3 linked regions of the Drosophila melanogaster genome follow. The protein of the gene in region 3 purifies or fractionates together with the protein of the main gene of each other region. This does not show direct contact. Each region holds a gene or a part of one and is shown on either strand. Other genes may lie near its edges.

What was found.
Region 1: the proteins of vnd (region 3) and D1 purify together in Drosophila melanogaster (affinity purification with western blotting, with the first as the bait; one study listed by BioGRID). This does not show direct contact.
Region 2: the proteins of vnd (region 3) and Oli purify together in Drosophila melanogaster (affinity purification with western blotting, with the first as the bait; one study listed by BioGRID). This does not show direct contact.

Annotation. Positions count from the first base shown.
Region 1 is NT_033777.3:9,234,770-9,242,396, forward strand, and holds D1 (D1 chromosomal protein), read right to left. Parts: upstream 5,886-7,627; 5' UTR 5,743-5,885; intron 5,499-5,742; exon of another isoform or gene 5,433-5,498; intron 5,300-5,432; 5' UTR 5,136-5,299; coding exon 4,721-5,135; intron 4,403-4,720; coding exon 3,750-4,402; 3' UTR 3,314-3,749; downstream 1-3,313. Other genes in the region: Vps15 (vacuolar protein sorting 15), read right to left, coding at 6,082-6,313, 6,378-6,992, 7,050-7,627. UniProt on the Drosophila melanogaster protein: This satellite DNA-associated protein is a double-stranded DNA binding protein specific for tracts of pure at DNA. It may play a role in organizing the higher-order structure of euchromatin as well as heterochromatin.
Region 2 is NT_033779.5:17,585,710-17,592,868, forward strand, and holds Oli (olig family), read left to right. Parts: upstream 1-3,474; 5' UTR 3,475-3,870; exon of another isoform or gene 3,871-4,502; 5' UTR 4,503-4,530; coding exon 4,531-5,102; intron 5,103-5,162; coding exon 5,163-5,289; 3' UTR 5,290-5,558; downstream 5,559-7,159. Other genes in the region: CG6870 (uncharacterized protein), read right to left, coding at 5,989-6,402; Sytalpha (synaptotagmin alpha), read left to right, coding at 6,615-6,624.
Region 3 is NC_004354.4:587,918-598,374, reverse strand, and holds vnd (ventral nervous system defective), read right to left. Parts: upstream 7,334-10,457; 5' UTR 6,981-7,333; coding exon 6,424-6,980; intron 4,728-6,423; coding exon 4,069-4,727; intron 2,020-4,068; coding exon 1,064-2,019; 3' UTR 556-1,063; downstream 1-555. UniProt on the Drosophila melanogaster protein: Probable transcriptional regulator involved in the regulation of the proneural AS-C genes and the neurogenic genes of the enhancer of split complex. Could specifically activate proneural genes in the ventral-most neuroectoderm.

The sequences.
Region 1 (7,627 bases), on a different chromosome or scaffold from region 3:
ATGCTAGTTTTTATTCCCAATTCAATACGACACTCGAACCACTGTACTTTTGTGCGATTAAAAACTTTGAGCTGGTCATGGTAAAGAAAAGATTCCGATAACACAGACAGCAGACAGGGCACATAATAATAATCAACAAAATAAAACGCACAAGGCACGCGTAAAAGCAAAACAATTTCTTCTAAAACTGAAAGACGACTAAGGCAAATATTAGCCATGATTTCCCCATTACGAAAACAATAACAAAGTAGATGCCGATAAGTGGTGAATTGCGGGGGGGGGGGGGGAGTGTGTGCGTTGCGTTTACGTTTGAGGAACAGGAGCCCCAAGAACAAGTCGCAGAAGCAGACTATCCATAGAAGAACAACGCAGCGCTGAATCATGCTCGAAAAATACGGAAAATATAATTTGGTTTCTTTGAAGACCGATTGGATTAATACTCTTAATAAATTACGATGCAGGCTAGTTTTATCAGTGACTATCAATACATAACTTTTCAGACTTTATCTATTCGTAAGTGCTTAGCAACCGTAACAAAAAGTTGGCACACGATAACAATGGCGTTTATGTTGCAGTTCCAAAAAGGTTTTAACGAAATTTTATAAATCACCATTAGGACCATTGCATTTCAACATTATGAAAATGATCTTTAGATCTGATTATTCAAATCCTGTTTTACTCTTTTAACATGAAATTCTATAATAGTTTGGGATTATAATAATATCCATTGTACAAAATATGGAATCCAATGAAAACAGAAACAAAATCCCTTTTTAAAATCTGGTTACATTGTAGATCGGCTTGTTTAACATCTAAGAATTTATACATATCTGGAAAACTTGTGAACAGAATTATTGTTATAGCGCCTCCCGCGGAAAGCACACGGAAAGACGTATAGCGGCTTGTTTAACATCTAAGAATTTATACATATCTGGAAAACTTGTGAACAGAATTATTGTTATAGCGCCTCCCGCGGAAAGCACACGGAAAGACGTATAGCGGGGGGTGGTGGGGCGGTCGAAAATGGAAAACATATAAAATTAACATACACACAGAGGAGCAAGAACAACAACAAGAACGATGCCGGCAGACGATGAGCGAATGCGACAGAACGAATGGCGAAGAAAACGAAACGAAGACGAAGGCGAAAGGCGGCCGCAAACATTTGAGGTTACGTTTTCAGCGAAAAGAATGCGAGTGGGTCGGTCTTTTATTTTATTATTTTTTTTTTTGTTTTTGGGTTGTTTACGAGAATTATATCTCCATTTCTCCCTTTCGGTCCTTTCGTGCCTCCCAAGAAGCCCCCCAAAAAAGGAGAGACAAGTGCAGCATGCGAAAAGGAAGAGAGAGAACGCGAATGCTGTGCCCCTGGAAGCTCGCACACACCCACACTTCTAGGGGAGGGGGGTATATATAAAAACAAACATAAAGATAAACCATAAAAGAGATGGCGGACAAAACAAAGGAGGTGCGGCCAATAAGTAATTAGGAATTAAAACCATTTGAATTGTTTAATATTTTAGTTGGTAGTTAGGCGTTCTTATTGGGAAAAGCACATATATACAATTGCAAGGCGTCCCGAGAGAGAGAAAGAGCGAGAGAGCACACACACACACGTAAGAGGGAGCTGAATGGTTTGGCGGGGGGACGCGGGGAGAAGGAAGAAGCAGAGCAGCCAAATGGCCACCGCTCAAAAGGAAGAACACGATGGTATAAGGAAATAATGAAACACACACATTCGCACACATACGCACAATCGGAAAAATTTGTTCACCAACCAAACAAAAAGAAAGGAATCATATAAATTATTCAGGCACACACTTAATTGATTTTTACCTTTTTCGGGCAAAATACGAATTAATTTCGCAAACTATTTATACATGTTTGCATATGTACAAAAAGCGGTCTGGAAATGCACACATACACTCATGCCGCCGAAATGGAAAAGGAAACCCGATGATGACAATGTAAAACGAAACAGGAGTACTTTACGGTTTTTAGCTGTTTTTTTTTGTTCATTTCCTTTTTTGAAACACTTACACATGCACTTAAAAAAGCCTTCTCGTTTGCATTTCCATTGATTTGATGGTGTGTGTGCTTTCGTTAAATACGAAATTTAGATTATTTAAATTACAATTATTTACACAGGATGATGAAGAAGAAATCGGCCAGGAATTTCTTCAACGTCGCCGCCGTCCGTCGCAGAACGATAATAAAAGCGAAATGCAAAGACACACTGGCCAAATACAACTACAACAAAGAGCTAGAGAGAGAGGAGAGAACAAGAACCCCCCAAAATGAGAGCAGTGTTGGCAAACGTGCGAAATCAACAGAGAGAACGAGTGAGCATGCCCACAGAGTGCGAGAGAGAGCAAGAGCGGGGGTGCGAGCGCAAAAGACCGACAATTTATTTTACTTTTATTAACATGCGCGCAAAATATTTATATAAATTGATTACACATTTTCTTGTTCTTTTATCATCACCCCCTTTTTTATATTCACCCTGGCAAATGAATTACGCTGCCCCAGCCAAATTGTTTATATATTATTTATCAATCGATTTTAGGGGCATGCCAAATTTGATCAGACGCCAGTCGCACACAAACACACACTTGAGCACACACATTCACAGACCAACACTCGCGCATACATACACACGCACCAGGGTGTTTGTTTTGTTTTTGTTTGCGGCTTTTTTTTTTATCAATTTGTGATCTTTTTTCGCAGCCGCAAATTTGATTGTGATTTACCGCCGATTGGAAATGTAAACAATGCTGTCGAACTATCAGCATAAGGCTGGCAGTTTTAAAATACTTTTCATATTTTATAGCTGTTGGGTACTCACACCTTAGCTTATTTGAAAAATTTACATATTACAAGCACGCCGTTCTAGGTCTGCTTCTTCTTACGCGCGAACATTTAGTGTGACCGCAGCTCGACCGTTCAAATATACCATTGCGAAGCGCACTGAGAAACACTCTCCAATAGTTCTAAGATACCAAAAATTTAGCATACTACTATATGTAAGTTATAATTTCATTTACTATCCCATTAGAGAAATTAATTGATTTTTATGTTCTATAATGCATTTAACTAGTTGCCCTAGTTTTAATGTTGTTAAAATAGCATTACAACAATTACCGTTTATAACTTCACTTTCTTCAGAGTGACCATATAATGTAAAGTACAGTGAACACTGTATATAAAGAATCAATACAACCATGGATTTACATATTTTTCCATCTGGTTTATATCAATAGATAATATATGTTAAATGATATATATAAAAACTAAATTACACAAAATTTTTTTAGGTATAGTAGGTTTATTTAAACTTGTATACGATTGAAATTTCTGCAATCAAATCAAATTTGTTGTTACAATAAAGTTCAGTTCTACTTCGGAACTTGAAATCTTCCCCAAATATGTTATTTATGTGTTATTTATTTGGTAATTTCAATCCAAGTTGAAATCGTTTTCCGAGCTATGTGTCGTCATTACAGTGCAGTGCAGTTGTAAACGGTTTGTCCGATTTCTCAGCAATAAATCGGAATATATATGTAGACAAAGTGTGTTGTTTTAGGAGGGGAAGGTTCTCTAAAGTCCAAGTAGGTCCTATCCATTTTTGTGTTTTCTTCTCTTACTTGCAGATTTTTTTTCGTTTTTTTTTTTTTGCTTTTACAACATTCTTTTTTTTTTGTGTTGATTTTTGGGGAGGGGTGTGTGGAAATGTTTATAAATTGTATGTTTTAGGCAGCTACCGATTCGGAATCGTTGTAGTTATCCGAAACATAACCGTCGTTGGCATCATTTTCGCCATCGGAGTTCCATTTGAGGCCATCTCCTTTGGTTGGTGTCCCATCCACGGCACGGTCCTCGTCGTTCGACTCCTTCTTGGAGTTGTGTTGGCCCTGATCGGCGGAATCAGCATCATCTGCATCGTCATCAATATTTTTCGCTGGGCGACTACGGGGCTTTGTTGTTTCCTCTTTGGACACCTTGCCAGCGGCAAGAGAGGGACGTCCACGTTTCTTCGGCGCCACTACCGTCTTCTCAGGCGAGCTGTGTTCCTCCTCCCCGGAGTTCTCATCGTCCTGATCGTCGTCATTGTCCTCGTGCTTCTCGACGGGTGCAGCATTGGCCTTTGGACGACCGCGCGGACGACCGGTGGGTACGTAGCCAGTACTGCCACCGCTACCCGACTTGTTCTGTGGTGGACGACCGCGTTTCTTGGGCACTTGTGGCTCCCCATCGCCATTGGACTCGACAGCCCGCTTCTTGGGTCTTCCCAGGCCGCGTCCCGTGCGCGATATGTTCAGGTTGACGGATCCAGCCGACGGTCGGCCCACTGGGCGACGTTCTTCGATGCTGCTGTTGCCGTCGTCGTCCTCATCCTGATCGTCTGTTTTGAAAGAAACAAAGCAATGTTAGTTAATAGGTATAATAATGAAATGAATCCAGGAATATATTTAAAGTAATATTTGTGAAGGTAAATCAATGGTCTATCGACCATTTACATATTTTTGATTTTGATTGATTGCATGGTTGCGGAATGTTGAAATCATGACTCTACCTGTGATCTTCGAAAAAAAATCACCAGGTAGCGTAAAGATAAAAGTGCAAGTTTGGTGGAAGCAAACAGTGCTTAAATTTCCATTAATTGAATTGAGACCATGAAATGTTGGGGATTTACGTACTAACTGCACTACCATAGGCTCACCTTCATTCTCGCTATCGCTGGGCTGGTGCTTCTTGGGCCTGCCGGCCTTGCGCTTCTTGGCGGAACCGGGCGTCTTCACCGAATCCCCGGATCCTGATCCGGCGCCACCACTGCTCTTGGGTCGTCCCCTGCCCTTCGTCGGCGAGGGTGATGAGTTGTTTGCAAGCTCAGCGCCGGAGCCATCGCCATCGCCGTCCTCCTCCCCCTCGTCTTCGGGATCTTCGTCATTTTGGATTTTTGACGCCTTCGGTGGGCGACCCCGCTGTCCACCACCGCCACTGGAGCCCTTGTTCTTGGCGGGACGACCGCGCTTTTTGATGCCTGGCGAGATTGCTGCAACCGCCGCTGTTGAAGATTTACCACCGACGGATGCCTTTGACGGTCGGCCGCGCTTCTTTACCGCAACTTCCTCCATTTCTCTGTACGGGATTCAATTAGCAAGCGAATAAAAAAAATCCTTGTTTCTTCGCGTCCCCTCACACACACACGCGCACAAATGCTCTCTCTCACGAACACACGCTCACTCTTTTCGCTTGGCTCCGCTCTTCTTCTTCACCTTTTTGTTTGCCGAAAATCAAGCTGGAAAAATATACAGAAAAACAATTTTGCATTAGGGCTTGAATGCGCATAAATGCTGCAAAAAATATTCTCAAAAAATTCTTAAAAATTCTAGTTTTTCCAGATCCGAAAGGGAATTACTTGCGTTACTTACTTTGCCTTCTCAATTTGTAATTGTAAAATACGCGCACGCTAGTACAGTTCAAAGTAGTGATGTAAAAAAAAATATGTCGGTGCATCGAGCAGCGATAATTTTTGCGATATTTTTTTCGATTTGATATCGATTAAGCGCTGCATCGATGCGTTCAAAATTGAGGCCGTTTAATTTAAGTTTGCGTAAAACAATTCCCTTTCATTTGGTCATATTGCATTTTAACTATGTATTAACATAAAATGAAACGTAGCTTTTGTGAAAAACTCTTTTTACTTTTGGAAATTGTAAGGTGTAAAAATTGTCTACTTACAGTTTAGGAATATCAAAAGAAACAAATTTATAAAAAACTTGAACTAAAGCAATAACCAAAAATTATTTTTTGAACTTCCTTCTTGCGTGAACAACCAAGTTAAGCTATCCATATGTCCAAAAGTTAAACAAGTTTGAAGTGACTACATGAGACGGCTGGCCTACTATTTTAAAATATGGTATGTTGTGTTCAAATTTTTTTTTTTGCTTGAAGCGCCAAGCTCCAAGTTTTTAAAACAAGAGAGTACAGTTTAGAAGCAACCGTTTATTAAATAGTTACACATATTGCAGTTTATTAGGCTAATCACAGTTGAATAATTAAATACTATTTAGTGGGCGCTCACTTCCACAGCTTGATGACACCGTTTCGCGATGCAGATGCTATGTAGATCTGGCCCTTGTCCTTGCACATCAGCAGATCCGTGATGGCATCGTGGTGACTGGCCGTTGGCATATCCGGCCCCGAGCGGGGATTCTCCTCCGTGGACGATCGCAGCTGCTGCGAGTCGCCCGTGCTGGCCATGGAAATGATTTGCTCCTCGATCACTTGGCTGCCATCGATTAACCGGGCACTGAAGGGTGGAATGAATTGATAATTTTATTATATTATCATTATAATAACAGATCAATAATTACCCATAGTTGAAAGCCACATCTGCCAGGTTGTCATTGGCAGCGGGTACTTTAAGCGATGAGTTCTTTGGGTTGGTGATGTCCCAGTACCGGATCCGCTGATCCGAACTGCCGGTGAGAATAAAGGGTGAACCATCGACCACGCCACTGAGAATGCCGCACGTGGTGGCCGGATCGCTGGGACTAGCGCTCGATAAAGCCGCCACCGGACTTGCCCACAAAACCGTCTGGCGCTGTCCCGTTTCTATATTCCACACGGATACCTCATTGTTTGACTGCGAGGCTGAGATCAGGTATGAAGGCTCTGTGGGATGGCAGGCCACCTTGCGTATCCACGAATCCGCCGGATGCTTGATTTCCGCAATGGGCAGACGGAAGCGTAGATCCCAGCAGATGTGCTTACCGCCGCTGGTACCGGTGGCCAGCCAAGATCCCGTTGGATCCGCACAGATCGTTGTGATCACCCCATGACGGAGTTCATTCTGTAGCCTCCAGGCGCTGTGCTGCATCCTCGTGTCCCAGGCCACAATGCCGCCATATAGCGTGGCGTACACGATGACACTTTGCGTGGCCTGATCGTAGGCGTGCATGTCCACAACAGGACCGTCTTTATGATCACTACGAATGAAATGATTATGTTGTAATAGGGTAATTAAGTAAGTGAAGTCATCTTACTTTTGATTTAGGGCCTGTTGAAGCGTCATTTTGGCGGAATTCCGATCGATTCGCATCATCAGCATGCTGCCATCCTTGCCGCCCACCGCCAGCGATTGTCCACTATCACAGGCCGCCAGTGCATAGATGGGTGTATTGGCCGAATAAACCTGCCTCGATTTGTTTACACCCTGATTGCCATTCAGTTTGCTGCAATCCCACAATCGCACTGTGCCGTCTATGCTGCCGCTGGCGAAGAGTGATCCGTGGGGCCGCAATGAAGCCAGCTTGATCACGGATTCCGAATGCTCGTGCAGGTGAGCCACCAAAGTGCCAGTCATCCGCCAGCCTGGCGGATAGGGTGTCACCAGCTTGTCGTAGCTGCAACGCTGCGAGATGGCCAACACATTGTAGCGACTCTTAATCTTGGCCGTCAGCGATTCGAGATCCTTGCGGCACTCGGAGGAGCGTTCCAGCCAACAGTTTCGTTCCGGCATTGTGTATTCACCCAGCGAAGTGGCCGCACTCACTGTGGCAGTTGGCACTCCAAGGACTACGGCTCCAGAAGCCGGACTTCCGGCCAGTCCGCCAGCTCCCAG
Region 2 (7,159 bases), on a different chromosome or scaffold from region 3:
TGATGGCTTTCACGGGAATTACATTAAAACAAAGCGAACCGCACAGTATTTTGGGATTTATTCCAAAGCGGTATACTTTTGTAGAACCTATACTAAGAATCTGTGGGTAACTTGCATCAATATGAACAATTAAAGATGAAAATCTGAGCAAGTTACGTCTAAGGTTAGAAAATCATGGACTTTTATCAATTTTTGCACACAAAGCCGACATCAAATCTTTCCTTTTCTGACATACCAATAAAACAAAATCTTCCAATTGCTTTTTGTATTTTGCCTTTGTTAGCTTAAATGGGCCAAGTTTATCTTGGCTTGAAGAACTTGCGGCAAATGGCAAATGGCGAAAGGGCATCAAGCCTGTCAAGCCGGAAATGAGCGATAAATATATCTTCATTCGCTTCTTATTTTGAACGCAAGTCGGCAGCGATTTCCCCAGCGTACAATTGGCACATTTTTTGTATTTCGTTGACGTCTGCCAATAAAAGTAACAAAATAAAATATGGCACTGCCAGGAGTGCGTTCGTGTGTGTGCGTGTGTGTGTGACTGTGGCCTGGGGATCGGAAGTGCTACCTTGAAAACGATACGCTGGGGAATCATTAGGCGAACCGTCATGGCTGCCATAAATATTGCCAATATAACGAAAGCACATCGATAATAAGGTTAGGAAGCCATGCTCGTATATCCAGGAATCAACTGAATCTCCGAAGAGAGGACAAGCCAGGGCGGAGGGCAGAAAAAGCCTCTTCATAAATGTGCCCAATTGGTTTTTCAACAATAAAATGCTAATGATTGATTCACATTGCCCCATGGAGTGCCGTTAGTTCGAGCCAAGGCCCCACAGAGCCAAGGATTCTATGGTTTTGTCTAATTTGCGCATACCCAAACATTAAATTGGGGTTTTCAGGCTTTTGCATTTGTAATTTTGCCTGACGAAAAAGTCAGGGTTGTAAGTTGTCTAAAGCTCGAATGAAAGATACCTTAAAACTAAAGTTCAAAAGCATTTTCCATGATATTTACTGTGATATATTAAAAAACTGCATTAATAGTTAAAAAGTACATTGAATAATTTAATAAAATTAGTTAACAGCGTCACAAAATGAATAGAGCCACTTATGTCCATACCCGCGGTGGCTTAGTTCGAGGGTCATCCATTAACCCATGACAACCCTTTGACGGATCACGAGGTACGAGCCAAAAAATCCCTGGGCTGGCCATTTACAATTGGTCCGCAGTGCGGAACCTAAGCTAATGATGACTGGCATGCACAAATGTACAAATCTTAATTATGCAAATCACGGTCGCGCATAAATTATGCAAATTATAATGAAATTCCTCATTGCCTTTGCCGGACCTGGGATCCGGGAACCCGGATACGGAACAGCGACAAATGCCCATATATATGTATATGGATTGATAAAAATGTGGCCATAAAATGAAAAAACCGAAAATTTAAATTTCGGCTGGCCCGGGGTTGAAAAGTCGAAATGATTGTGTTGGCCGTAGCTGAAGCGCCGTAAATTGCAATGTAAATGCTGCATATATAAACTGAATTAGTCCCAGAACAATTACAACAAGGGAGAGTGCACTGCGATTGCAAATATACCCGATTCCGATCCCGAGCCCGAAACCCAAAAAAAAAAAAAACTCTCACAATCACGCAGCAAATGGTGCATTGCCTAGAGGGGCTGTCCAGATTCCGGATTTCATTGAAAATAATGGCATACGGTGACTGCTGCCCCGAACATCTGACACAATAATTTTCCCTACGAAAGGAGGGAAGCGCAAACAAAGGCCAAATGGAAAAGTTGCCAGCGCAAATTATTAAATTTATCATGCGCGAAGTCATTAGGTCTGTCGCCCGTGCTCGTAGTTTGACTTATTCTAAGGACTAAACGACTGCAGGCAGCTCCACGCACACACACTCCGCCACTTATACATAAATGTCCTGCGAGGCCCGAAGTGTGGAAAGTCATTAGTGGGCATTGCAGTTGACAGGAGGATGGAGATGCTGGCTTTGGATAATAAACATCTGCTTTAGCTATGGAACTTGTAAAATAACAAAGTTTATAACTTTAAAAGAGGCATCTTCGAAAAATTATTTCAAATTTTGACTTAACAATTTACAAGTCGATAAAAAAAAGAATGTTCACAGATTTTTTCGATTAAATTTTATTATTAAAAAAATTCTCTATTGATTGATTTTAAATATTTATCAGAGCAGCACTAACAAAGAATCTTCATCGGACGACTTTTTAAAAAAATGTTTGATTTTCATGATAATTTTGTTAGGTTGTCATTTAAACAGCGGATTTCTAAATATTTCAAAAAATATTTCAATTGAAAAACACTCTTATAATACTCTTAATTGAAAAATGTGTCCTTTTATATTTAAATTAATAAAAATATACCCACACCCAAAGATTGCTTAAAACTAATAAATACAATCAAATAAATAAATATGTGGCCTAGATCTGCCTAGCACTTCCTATCATTTTCCATACCTTTTTCTAGCTTATGCCTTTGCCAACGAAAATATTTGGCATGTGCCATTTATGGCATTGTTCCAGCTTTGAACAATGCGATACCATAATTTCCAGGCAACTCGCAAACGCACAAACTCGCTCACGTAGAGAATGCCATGCAGATGCGGCATCCTCTGAGCTATGCTGTATATGGGCATATAGGCGAAATACTAGGATGCACGGGCTATGGACGGCTATTCGTGGTCCTTGTTCCTCGTTCAACCCCCTAGGACAGGAATCCAGGACTGGCCAGGCGGCCCAGGATCAGCAGGCAGTGAGCATGTGATTAGATTCAGTTTCAATGGAAATTGAAATCACAGACAAAGGAGCGGACCCGGCGGATTCAGGGTGCGAGGGGTGGTGATGGGCCATCAGGGTTGAAAAGGAGCGAAGCGATAAAAATCCTGAACAACAAGAAAAGTGAATTTTCGGACAGGCAGGGCAAAGGCATTAAAAACTTCATACACTTGTAAAAAATTTGACTGCACTAAATAATATTCAACAATTAAATGCAACTTTGAGAGATAACAAAAGTTTTTGGTTTTCGTTACAATCAAGTGTGGTTATAGTTAATTATTACTTAACCAATTGAAAAATGCAGACTTTTATTTAATATACAAAATAATGATTAATAATGAATAGATTATTAATTAGTATGATTTTATACCATTTTTAAATGCAAATATGTAATTGTTAACTTTTCAATAGCAGATTAGATTTATGTTAGAAATTATTATTATTTTGTGTAGGGTATATCTGATGCTATATGTTATGTTTCAAAAAGGTTTCGATCATTAGTAATCATTTTTTTTTCTTAGTGCTGAAACTGTGACTCATTCACCTTTGTGAGTATTGGTAATAATCGTGCTGTATGTATTGGTGTGGATGCTGCATTATGCGAAGCCCAACCACTAAACGTCAACCACCGGCGTCGACACCCGACCCACATTTTATATAGTGGCTCATAATATTCCTTCTGCAGAAAGAGATTAACACCAAACGGCGACGGTGGCGTCGGTGGCAAAAAGTTTATAATCATCCTCGCTGACAGAGCGAAAGAGACGGGCGATTGGAAAGCATAGGCGGAGGCAGGGAGAGAGAGAGAGAGAGTGAGCGGAGAAAATCGGAAAATCGTTATGCGACTACTATAACCCACCACAAAATCGCGGTCGTCTCTGTTGTTGCCGGGCACCTCACACTCGCGCATCGATTCCGATTGCGATTCAGGATCTGAATTTTTTGCCTGGTTTGTGGTGCGTGCGATTTTTAAAAATGTTTAAATCCGCAATTTCTTTCTCCGTGCTCTGTGCTCTTCGTCCCCTTCGTACACCGGCGAACTTGTGATTTGTGGTTAATTTAAATTAATAATCTTTTAAGTGTGTCATGAATTAACTGCAAGTTAAATAAAGTGCTGCGTCGATTTTGCATATTTTATAATCCATTTCGTTGGGTTAATAATTGCCAAATTTATTATTTATATATATTGACGTATAATTTTAAAGTTTATTGTTTTCTGAAGTGCTGCGCTCCTAAATAAATTTAATGCCGCTAAAATTGTATTCGCCATGAAACATCATATTAAACCATCCCTTAAATTGGACTACTACACAGCGCCACCTATGAAAAGCTTTGATAAGCTTATATTCATCTTGTTAATCTGACTACCGCGTAATATTTTGGCTTTGAATTTCCGAAAGGCTTAACGATTATTTTGCTTTAATTAAATTTAAGGAATACCTGACAGACGTTTGCAATTTGTTAAACCATTTCGGGTTAAAACACAAAACAGATGCTCCACCTATAAAAAGCTTTGCTAACCTATTAAATACATAAAATTCCGACAGATGGCGCTACCGAACAGCTGAGCATACGAGTATTCACCCCTATTTTTTAGTTTTCTTATGCAACCCTGCATCATAATAACTTTGATTTGCAAGGACTACCCTAAAAGATTACACATCCCTTCAACCTTTTTTTCACAGCTGGAAAAGTCCCATAAAATACAAAAAAATGGATCCCTCGAATCTTGCTTTTGGTTTTCCCGGTCTCCCCAACCACGGACACATGCCAATACCTCCTACAGCCAATATGCTTGGTGGCCAGCATCCAGCACCCACCGCCAGCCCACCACAAAGCGTCCCCGGCCGTCGGACGCCACTTGGATCGGTTGGTCTGGGTGGTTTCTATGCCCAGGGAATGGGCATGTCCCAGCAGCCACCGACGGATGAGAACAAACCAGGGCCCAGTGCTCCGGAGAAGCCATTGAGTCCCACGGCCGCCGCCATCGCAGCCATTGCCATCAGTGGTGGCACCACCACGGTGGCCGTGTCCAGTGGTGGCGCCAGCGGAAGTGGCTCCAACAGTGGCAAGCAGAAAAACCGCCAGGGAAAGACGGTAAGGCTGAACATAAATGCCCGGGAACGACGAAGGATGCACGATTTGAATGATGCCCTTGATGAGCTGAGAAGTGTGATTCCCTATGCCCATTCGCCTTCTGTGCGAAAGCTGTCGAAAATAGCCACCTTGCTGCTGGCTAAGAACTACATTCTGATGCAGCAAAATGCTCTCGAGGAGTTGAGAAGGTAACGTAGTTCATTACCACGCTCAATAGGAATTATTAACATATATGCTTTTACTTTTAGACTTTTGGCCTATATACAAAGCACCACGGGAGCAGCGCCACTGGATTTGGGTGCATTTCCGGCGGCTGCCAAGTTGCAGGCTCTTCTTCAAGGACCTCACAACGAACCACCGACTAGCAGCAGTTAAATAGGAGTGGGGGCCACCATAAACTATGGTTCAACTGATAAGCAATCCATTAATGAGCAATACTTTTAAGTCAATTGGAAAGCAAATGCCAAATACTTGTGTACTAGTCAGACGAAAGGAGGTTGATAAGGAGCCTCTTATCAGAGCAGCCAAGTGAAAATCTGTTCAGTGATATTTATTTTTGTCATAAGCATTTCTTATTTATGCATTTACCCAATGTCAACCAATATGTGTAAGATGAATATTACCGAATAAAGTATTATTGAAGTAGAAAGTATGTCGTTGGAAAAGGGTTTGGTCATTTAGGTTTACCCATCAGCACTGATAGAAGCCTGTCATTTTTCAGAATCATCAAACAAACAAACAAAATAAGAGTTTCAAATACTCAAACACGCCCAACCCAACCAACCATTTATAGTCATCAGATAACAAACATCAAAGAGCACAATCAAATTTAAAATAATATAATCTTAGATCCGTTTCAAGTCTTGGCAAAAATATTTAACATATAAATATACATACATAGTTGTCTGTATGGTTTTTGATGATTAAGCAAAAGCCGTTTAGCGGAATTCGAAATAAGCGGATTACAACTAGAAAACTAGTCGATGAATACTCTAAAAATATATATATATATAGACATATACGACATGGAGGACGGCGGCGAAGGCGATCGGTGCAAAATCGGCTGGCATTATATTATTCCGGTATGCCCAGGGACAAAACCTTGTTTTTGCCAGTGCGAAAAATGTGCTGCTTGGTGGGCAGTTGACCGATCAAGAAATCCTTCATCATTTCGATGGCATCCCCCGAGTGTCCTGTGCCATGGAAGGCGATGGTGGCATCTCGCCCTGCGTGATCCATAATGACGTCGTCGCCGCCGGGATGATCCCTTAGAAAGTGTGTCACATCGTAGACCCTATCGTAGATTACCACCCAGCAATCGTCGAAGCTGTCGTGCTGGGCCACCTCCTCCAATGCGATCTCCGGCAGATCTTCCAGTTTTAAACGTTCCTTTTTGCTTGGTACAACGACCACCTGATTACTGGACTTTCCATGTCCCAAGGGCACAATTCTCAGCGATTGCAAGAGGTTCGTCAACGCGGATGACATGTTGTAAGTATGCAATTACTTTCACTTTTACTAATATTTGATACAACGATTTGTAATGCCGCCCGATCACTTCAGACAGCCGGCAATCGATTCAAGTTGAGTTCTGCTTGGTCGGCTTCAGTTCCAGTTTTACTTGGGGTCTTGAGTGTCTTTCGTGTGCAGCCACCGGTACTGGAGTGTCATTCATGCCTTGGATTGTAATCGTTTTATAAATGACAACACGTGAGTCGATCGATGGAGCCGACAGCATGGTGATAAGACTTCGTGTCCAGAGAAGCGAAGCTCTTATAGATCGGTTTCTATATAATATATAATTATATATATATATATACATATATGTATGTTCAACCGAACTGGTTTGCATCTACATATGTTCATGGGAGGGCTAGGCATTGCACTGAGATTGCGAGATTTTGCAATAATGTTTTGTGGTCACTCGTACTCATATGAGTCAATTTCCGAATATGCTCGTAAAGACGAGCATAAATTATATATTTCTCTGTTAATCGGATTGCTCAGTGAGCTAATTACTTGCTACCTTATAAATTTAATGGGCCAGCAATTATTAAAAGGGAGACATTTAACGCGCCTATCAGCATTACAATTGATTTATTGGCACAAGTCAAACGTGCATCGGGCGAATCAATTACGTCTACTCGAACCGTTTGATCGCCAGTCATTAAGGCAATCAAAATAAATTTTGGGTTAATAGCCTGGAGTTATTTACTTTTAATACTTAAATGCGTTTTAAGTTTGC
Region 3 (10,457 bases):
CGTAGGCCACCACCCCACGGAATGCGGGAGAGGGTGCCATTTACGATCCCATAAAGTGCATGGGGCAATAACTCTTATAACATAACAAGTAGGTTTAGTGCATTGATCAATAAATTGGTCTTTCGGTTCTCATGGGATCTTGGTCTTGTATGCATATGTATATTGTTATTTAATCGGTCCTTTATCCGAGTTTAAGTTTTGGCAGTAAAATGAAATCGTTTTGCTTTAATGTATGTAATTGGTTTTTATTAAATCTCTGACATGTACTTTGCAGTTCGTAGTGTTGATTTGCTTTGTTGTGCAATTTGGATACATTTGCCGTCTCCGCAGCGTACTGTCTTTGTTGTTTGTTACAATTTATGAACTCATTACTTGCTATAAATTCAAAGATCGTTTACTCTCTATACACGCACACACGCACGAAAAAAATATGTGTTAGGACTAAGTGCCTATATTATATATGTATTCATAGAAAAAAAAGGCCAATAAGTTTTGTCTAAAAAATTTGAACACTTATTACGCTTGAATTGATTATATGGTATATAGTACAGATTTAGTTGCATATTTCCTATTATTTATTTCTCTTTTGAAATAATCTATTTTTCAGATTTACTTCATTTTTATATTATATTTACACATTTTATCTTTGGGATTGGACTTAGGGCTAAAAAAAAAAAATAAAAAAAATGAATCTACTTCTAAATTTTATGCGACTTAAATGCGCTTGACAAGAGACACTAGTATTATGCAAATTGATTTTTATTTAGAAGGAAATGTAGCTTTCTTTTGTCATGGGCATTGGTCTGATATCCAGGAATGGATAAATTTATGTCATTTAGGTATATATATGATTATATATATGAACTATGTACAGAAACGACTCAAGGATAAGTCCGGGAGACTGAGCGCTAGTAGGGGTTTGTATGTGTTTCAATTATTATTGTATATTCTTTTACTTGGCTTCACTGGGAATCTGGAGGCGTGGTCTTCTGGCTCATCGCTCCACGGGCCTGACTATCCACCTATCCGCCCCCAGTCCCGTGAATGCCAGTTCCTAGCAATATTAGGGCCACCAGGCGGCCCTCTGGGCGTGGGCGTGTGGATGGCCGTGTCCGTGGGCGTGGGCATGAGCATGGGCGTGGGCGTGAAGGCCGGCAGCCGCTGCAGCGGCATGTTGATAGGCGGCCGCTCCATTTAGGGCAACCAAGTGATGGGCGGCGGCATTCTGCATGGCGGTGGCGGTGGCTGATGACACGGAGACGCAGTCGGCTCCCAGTTTGGAACTATCGCCCAAGCAGGGCTTTCCGTTCCTCACCAGAACTGGAACGGCTACCCGACGGGGCGATGGCAGGGCACTGGGGTGATGCGGATGGGTGGCATGGCCGTGCAGTAGACCAGGATGACCCTCGTAGCCCTTCTCGTTTTGCGCCCGCTTCGTCTTGTAGCGATGGTTTTGAAACCAGATCTTCACCTGGGTCGGCGTCAGGCGGATCAAACTGGCCAGGTGCTCGCGTTCCGGGGCACTCAAGTAACGTTGTTGTCGAAACCGACGTTCCAGCTCATATGTTTGCGCCTTGGTGAACAGGACTCGTCGCTTCCGTTTCTTATTTGGCAGACCGTCGGATCCATTTGCATCCCCGCCGCCACTGCCGTCGGCGTCGTCCACGTCGTCGATATCCTCCTCGATGCCATCTTCGTTGAGGCTATCGTCGTGACCACTGCCTGCTCCGTTGATCCCCTCGGCCTTCAGGCTGTGGTTATTGTTGTTTGTCGTATTATTATTGTTGTTGTGTAGGGCATGGGCCGTCGGAGCGCCTCCGGCACTTCCATTACCAGAGGATCCATGGAGGGTGTGCAGGGCGTCGCCCACGGATAGTGCATCGCTATCGGCCGACCGGCTGTAGCTCTTGTAATCGCCGGAAAGGGCAGGCGATGTCTGGCAGTTGGAACCAATGTAGGTGTACGACACTTCCGAGGTAACTGGGGAGGTGCTATCCGGACTGGCGGGCTGCTGGGTACCTGAAATCAAAGAGGAAATCAAGGTTTTGGTTAATGTGCTAATTCTTCGTAGTAGATATATGGCTAAAACCGGGAGAAAACTCCCTTCTTAATATGCTGCTAATTGAGGAATAAATTGCTTGGGATAGCCATTTATTTATTTGCATTTTTCACAATGGTCCTACAGAATGGAAAGGCAATGGCAGGGTGCGAGCCCTGGGTGGGAATTTGTCAGCAATTGAGAAACCTCTTTAGCCGTAAATTAATGTAGCGACACACCCCTCCACATCGTCCAAGTGATCATGCAGAATTCGGGACAAAAGGGGGAAGTCAGTATCGCAACTACGGCAATTGGATTAGGCGCAACATGAAGCTGTGGTCGGAAACGATCCAAATGTCAAATGCCAGATGTATGCACTCCTTATGGTCCGCAGCGTCAAATCAACCCCTGCCCATCCCCTACGAGCTTCACCCTAACAACGCCAATTAGGCGGAGACAAACAGAGATCGCACACAAATACATACAAAAATACATGCCTAGGTGGGTATTCCCTTGTCGTCTACCTGAAACGATCGCTTCGATCTCTCGCTGAATGACTGCTGATCCTGGGCCTGTACTAAAAACCAGCAACCAGGATACTAATGGGACAACGACACAAAAGCCAGACCTCAAACACATCAATGGTAGCCGGGTCTCTTCCGGTTCGCCCCCTTTCGCAAGAGTTCCGAACTTCCAACAGATAGTGATTTAGTGATTTATCGCCGGGTGTGGCTATTTCTGATATTCTGGGGCGGGATCTGCGGTTGCAGAGGTATTAGAAGTGGGCTTATGCCAGTATTCAGGCAACTTCAAACGAGGCATGTAACTATAGAAAATCAAAAAGAAGCCCTTTAGTTCTTCCTAGCTTTCGAACTTTTGGATATAGTGCTGCGAAGGCAGCATTCCAAAGAATCGGAACGCGTCCTATCTGCATTTCTATTCCTATTGCAATGTATTTCATAAAATGTCTTCTAATGTGTGTATTCACCTGCCCGGGGTGATGTCCCCGTGGGACATTGATAAAACAACAAATGCAAGGGTCGTAGGAGCTCCTAATGCTCGCCTATCAGCTCCCACCGAGCTAGCCGCATTTGCCCTGCCACGGAAGCCATGCGCTCACCATGACAACTCAACAAATTAATAACTTAATATAATCAAAATGACTCTTCCTCGACTCCTTCACAGCTGTGGAAACTCCCAAAAAAAGAGCAGAAAAGAGAAAATAAAAAAACGGCAAGTGGGCAGCAGCTATAATTTGTAGCTAAACAATAAAGGAATAATAACAGAAGTGGGAAGGGATGAGGCGGAAGTGCGTGCCATAAATTTCCAGGATGAGAAATGTTTGGGCCGCAACAACAAGAAGCGATCGAGCGGGCAGCGATTGAATGTCCTGGCCGAAGGACACGAAGGACGTCAACTGCCAGAAAAACAACAGGGCTAATCCTCAAGTGTGAAGCGCATACAAACTATTAGTCATGATTAAAGGGGAAGCCCAACCCCTGCTCCTTGATTCCCAGTTATATACCCATTTCGATCCGCAGTTAACTGCCAACGAAAATAAAACACAACAGGGCCAGAATTAAACAAAGCTTGTCACACCCTGGAAGCACGTGAATCCGTCGAGTCCACAGGGTATGCAAATACAGCTGCCTCATCGCTCGACTGCTTCAACTCTCTGGCTCTCGGGAGCAGTGAGTGGTTAGTTACGGAACAGTATCATTAGTCGGCCAGTTAATCGGGGGTTAAATGCAGTCGAAAATTGTAAATTTCTTAAAGGGAGCTTCCTGCGGACTTCATTGATGAGTCTATTTTGAAACCAAGTTAATTCGTTGCTCTTTTGCCTACCCACGATTCAAAAGGATATTTGTTTGGGATCCAAAGACTTGCTTACAACCTGCCATTTAAGTGTTGCTTCTTCAAAAAGCCAACTCTAACTTGGTTATTGATATGGCCAGGAGCTATCTCCTGGAAATGGAGCAAATGAAAATGGATACATGCGTATCCATTTATGAGTTGAAACATTCGCTCACCGTATAGCTCGTTCTCCTTGATCCACGCACTCCTGCCCGAGTGCTGCAGCATGGTTTGGGCCATGTGGTGGTACGAGGACATCTCGTCGCCAAAGCTCCCCGGGAAGTTCTTGGGCAGGTTGGGCAGATATTGGCCGGCGGCCACAGCAGCCGCAGCCGCTGCATTGTGGCTGGCCAGCAGATGGGCGGCGGCTGCATTGGCATGGGCGTGGCTTTGGGCTTCGCCGCTCTGATGGTGCGCCAAAGGGAGTGGGGCCACCGCCTGCTGATGGTGCTGCTGCGGGAGGAGGAGGTGAGGGTGGTGGTGCTGCTGGTGGTGCGGGTGCTGTTGCTGCGGATGGCTAGGAGGGGCGTGATGCTCGGTGGTGCTGTGGTGATCCGCTTCTCCCGCTCCTCCCCCAGTCCCGCTGCCATTGTGGTGCTCGTCCGCGGAAACGCCCGCTGGCGTGGGCGACAGCGCCGAAGGCGAGGTGTGAGATCCCTGGCCGCGATGTCCACTGGTGGACTCACTGGCCGAGTGGTGACTCAAATCGCTGCCATGGTGGGCGGCAGCAGCGGCGGCAGCTGCTGCATTCTTCAGCTCAGAGCCCTCCAAATTCAAGATGTCCGATATATGGAAGCCAGAGCGTTGGGACGACGGCACCTTTGCATCGAATAAGCTGCAAGGAGATCAATATGTTAATTCTAACTGAACTTCAACACTAAAAATTTGAGTTAAATGTTTATTTCTCATTTCAATTGAGCACTCGCCTACAGTTTTAAAGAAAAAAAGGCAAAAAGCATACCAAAGATGAGTTGTAATAGTTTTTCTTGAGATTCTGTGTAGTTTCTTAATTGTCCCGGCAAATTGTCATATAATCGAGTGATTAATGACTCCCCGAGTATAAAGATGGCTCCTTAGAGGACGTGGAACGATTTTTCCCTGTTTCATGCTTATTGCAGCGACATCCTGTGTCAATCGTGTGAATGGCCGGAAGGTTTAACAAAAGGAGGTCCCTGTTGGTCGGGATATGCAAAGGAAACTACCTGCACTACCTGTAGCGCTCTGACTTTCACAGATTTTTGCACTTGCCGTTGTTAAGAAGATAAGGAGGTGGGGGGTGTGCATCCTGCAGGCATGCTTCGGAACCGAAAACGCGCACATTTCCCCCGGAATTAACTTTGAATAAGTGCACCCAAATCGCTGGATTATTGACACCTAGTCCCGGTCAGACCCCGAGTTTTGATTTGCCTAATACCATCAACAATTAAACGCAAATCCGCCTCGTAAGGATCGCAGCTACCTGGTCGGGTCAGTGCAGGTCAGCACAGGTCAGCAGGGACTCTTTACGGGTCGAAACAGGTCGTGCCACATGTTGGCGCAAGTTTGCTTGCTTCCGGTTTTCCCATTTCGAGTTTTCCCGAAGACCCCGACTCGCGAATTTCCCACGCTATGGACAGGCTACACGGGCATTCCCCGTCCTCCTGAGCGGAAATCCCATTGCCAGACAGTGTGACGCCAGTATCTCGAAGGCATCTGAGTCCCATGTCTGTCGTACACATGTCATTCCCGATTGGGGTTTCCCTGGCTCTCACCTACGGGAATTTCTAAGCCAGGGTCGAACAACAAGCCAGAATTTCCCAACCGCCATTCGCCAGGACCTTGAGTACTTGCCAGATCAAAGAGGCGGGGAATTATACCCTGTGTCCTGTACTTGCGCGCTGTGCCCGCTTGGTTAATTTAAAGAGCTACCAGGATTAGCCGGACAAGTCCATCAGCTATATGGGATCTAAACACTAATATGGAGGCAGAGGCTCGCAGGGTGTGATTTTAAGTCGGAGCTTAGGCGAAGGCAATTGCAAAGTATGGCTGGTCTTGCGTATTCTGCAGATTCTGCTTTCAACGCCCAATCTTCCAAATTATTAGATTAGGAGAATTAATTAATGGTCTTGCGTATTCTGCAGATTCTGCTTTCAACGCCCAATCTTCCAAATTATTAGATTAGGAGAATTAATAGAAAGACATAGAAAATTAATCGGGAACCCAAAACCTTGAAAACCATATCTGTTTTTTACAAAGTGGTCAGCCATGAAAGGCAAACGTATTGTCGGTGGTCAGTAATTTTGTTTCAATCTGAGGCATGTCCTTATTATCCATATCTTGGCCAGATCCATGCCATCAAAGTGTTACCAATGCTTAAGCGTTTATAAATAGCCCACAAAACAGAGGTCATAATTAGAAGAACTAGAATGGACTTGTGTCAACGTATCACCAAAATATGCTTTTCGTAACCAAGACATATGAATCATAGGTTTGTGTTCACCACTCCAGAGGTATCAATGTTTTAATTATTCCATTGGAATCCTTGTGCTTACCCAGGCAAAGCGTTTCGCAGGGCCGCCGGATAAAAGGCGGCTGGTAGGAGGGCGTGGTTCCACGGCGGCAGCAGGATGGGCGACCAGGGCAGAAACGGGGCCGCTGCTGCGGCGGCCACAGCCGCCGACGATGGAAGCATAAGACTACTCATGCTGTGGAGCCCCGGAAATCCGCTGAAGGCGGCTGCACCCGTCGGAATGCGGAGCTGTTCGGGCGCCAATCCGGAACTGGAACTTGTGTTCGTGGGCACGGTGGTGCTGGCGGTGCTGAAGACTGCGGCGAATCTCTCGTGATCTCTGTCTCGCTCGTGCCGTTCCTGCCGCTCCTTGCGATCCTCCCGGTCCTCTCGATCCTCACGCTCCCTCTTCCGCTCCAGCGAGGGCGTTGAGGTGCGCAGCGGGCGCTTCGGCGTGGCTGGGGAGGACGGACTCACCGTGATAGCGCTTTGGGGCGATGCGGGCAAGCTGCCAGCGCTGCCCAGACCGCTGCTGTTGTCCCGCTCGCGATCTCGATCCCGCTTTGAGGGGGTCCTCTCCAAGGACGCCGACGTGGTCATATCGCTTTGCGATATCGGGGAACCACTGTTTGATTTACTACGCTGCGACGCGGGTGGCGGCGTGGGCGGACTTTTGCGTTTCTCCGCCACTTTGGAGCTTTTACGGTGTTCGGAGCACGGAAAAAAAATATGTTTATGTGTAGTTACTGGGTAGCACTGCGATGAATTAAGCGGGTATCCTGGTAGGGCAACTTAAATTCCAGACATAGTTCGATTTAGGCTTAAGTTTAAGTTTATCACCGGGAAAGTTCGATAGTTCAAGGGTCGCGAGTCGTTTCTCGATTTCTCAGTTGCACGGGTCCGCGGAGCAGCGCACTCTACACATTCCAAACTGAAGTGTCATCAACAACTAACGAGGCATCAAGAACTCAACACGAGTCCAAGTCGCTTCAGAACAGCCAATAACCAAAACCCAACAACCAACGGCAGAAAAGTACCAGGTCGTATGCTCGGGGTGTCTTTGGGTATCACTATGTATGTGGTGCATATCTGTATCTGCATCCCTCTGCCATTGGGTACATAACGCAGATACTCGGATAGTCGCACACACACACACACATACACAAACACACACACGCACACAGCCAGACTGGAGAGACTCTCGGCTTTGTTGGGCGCGCTAAGTGGCTTCTTATGTCCTTTTCAACAAGGATACGGCAACAATGTGAGTGGCCTATTCAACCACCGAGAGAACCAACCACCATTCGTCGCCAGAGCGAGACGTACGATGTGAACCGAGTCCTTATGCCGCACGTCATCCCGCTCTAACTCTTTCCTGTTGCTTTCTCTGCCGCTCTCAAGAGTGCCACTTGAGTGAGAGTGTGTGTGTGCTGCAGCCTCTGTGTATGTTTGCTTGTGTGTGCGCGAGAGTGAGTGTGGATGCGAGGCCATTGTAGCGCCTCACGAACCTCCTCAGGCACGTCGGATTGACGTTCCCAGATAGGGATTCTGGGATTGGGCCGTTCTCTTCCAGCAGTGCTCTGCACTTGATGTTGTCAGCATTCCCCGCGTCATTTAATTGTATTTATCATTATCAGCTCTCTGCAACTCTGGACTTCCGGAGCGGGAACATCAGCCCCGACTTGTGGCGCCTATGCGGTGGGTCCAAGGAGAGGACAGGACAGGGCAAGACATGCGATTGTGACCGGCATTTAGCACGATAATATCAGATGGTGATATCAGCCATTATCCTATTGAGGAACGAGGGCGATAAGAAAAATTTTCTGGAATTACGCTCTCGCCTTTTCTATATGTAGTTGGCTATTTAAGAATCAGATCAATTCATCATTTAAAATCCCAGTCGGGTTGTAATACTTTGAGATTTTGAGTACCAACCATGATTAGATCTGGGGAGGATTGATCACATATTTGTGATTTTATATTAGTCAGCAACGAAATCTTATTTTGAACCACGAACTATTATTTTAATACTTAAAAGGCGCACTGCGAAAACCCTTTTAAAGGCATTCTCACATTACCATACCGGTGAAAGAACGTTATTTTTGCGAAGGCATTATTTTCTTCTGCCGTGTTAGTGGTATGCTATTATACTTGGACATTTAGTTTACTTCACGGTACGTTCTTTGGGAATTGCAATAAATTTCTTGCGTGCAACGGAACTGTTATAGACCACTTTGGCACTGACATAGGGGCCTTATGTACAAGGAGTGTCGCTGTTCGTGCAATTTGAATTTCGATTTCATACTCGTAAGCCAACTCGTGATTAGTGCAGATCCTTCAAACGCCAATACATGGCGCCGTTCCTTGAGAGGTGGCTTCGGGACACACCCCGGACACTCACAGATAGGGAGAGTGCGAGCGAGGAGGTCGAAAGTAAAGTATGGGAATATACATAATCAGCACGAGCAGTAAACGACAGGACAGACTGAACTGGGGGTATCCGCCCGAGGCAATTGAAAACATGGCAAGAGTCCGTTGGGGCTGGCCCCATTTACATATGGGCTGGGGGCTATATACATATATCAGAATATGCATATACATATATATATATATATATATATATATATATATATATATAAATATATGTTGTGTATATGAAGGAAGCTCCATGATCCCTATCCACGAGCATCCGCCCTCTAAAAGTGGGCACCCCACTGTCGCTCATGACTTCGCACCATTATTCTCCCCATGGGGGAATGGAGGTGGTAAGTGGAGGGGGTAGAATTTTATCTTGTAATAACCTCTGCCGACGACGACGTCGCCGTCAAGTGGGCGCGTCATGGCCGCCTGGCCAATGGGAAGAGCGTGCGAGCAGGAGAGTTATACCGTGCGCACCGTGCGCTGACGCGCATGTTTGGGAAATTTTGGTTACGCCAAAGGACTTTTCGGGGAAATTTCTCCCATGTGCGCACGCCCATCTTCCCGGGCGTTCGTTGTTGGCCATTGTTATTGGGCTTAATAATGATGTTGCATTTAATATCAAAGTAAAACCTTTGTGTGCGTCGCCGTTGTTGTTATGGCTTAGCTTCCGCAGGAAGTTTTAGTATCTCATGGATTTATCTGTGTTTGTGTGGAGCGCTGGCATTCGAATTACACACGAATTCAATTCGATTCCCGCAAAAACTCGTTTGTTTTTTATTGCCCTCTGCTCCTTTATTTGTGTATTTATTTATTTTTGTATGCATGCTTCTGTATTTTCCGCACTTCAAACTACTTTGTTTGTGCTTATTTCTAAGTACAAACAACTTCAATTGTAGCTCTCGTCCTTGTCGTCCTCCTGCTCGGCCTTTAGGGATTTGGGCACTGCCTAGTTTATTTTTATTTTTTTGTGAATACATTTTCAATATATTTGCGTTGCAATGGGTGGAGGTCCACCGACAGCAGAGGGCTATTTGCGGCTGACATACATAAACAGCTATAGAGTTTATGAGAAAAGACAGCAAGATGTTTTCTTCAACTTAAAAGTGTCTACTTGACACTGACTCTCTTATATTTGTCGAAAACTTTTCATCGTCGAATGGTTTTAATTAGCTTGCACTTTGTGTTGCTAATTAGTCGCTGTTTCAATAGATTCTATATCAGTTATGTAAGTAGAAATTCAAAATTAAATGCTGGTTCATAAAAGTCCATCTGCTGGGATCTTTGGAGTCCGCATTAGGATCCTTCCTACACAGTTAGGGCCAGCTGTCCTTTGGCAGTTTGATTTGAAGTGTGACAGTGCTGGCCCAATCGCATTCGCATCCGACAGATACACAATGCACCAAACCACTCGCATTCGAATGCAATAAAGTATGTTGGGTGTCACAAATCGACGCTGTTAATCGCAGGCAAACCGCGCAAAAGACCCGGCCCATACATTTGAGTATATGTGAGCGGGAACTCCGAACATAACAACCCCAATTAAACGCCTCGCCAGGCGTAAAAATCGAGGTATTTGGCAAAAGGTGTTTGCTTAACGCGAATACAATTAGGCGGCCATGTTGCAGCAGCCTCGAGCAGCGTGCCACGAACGCACAG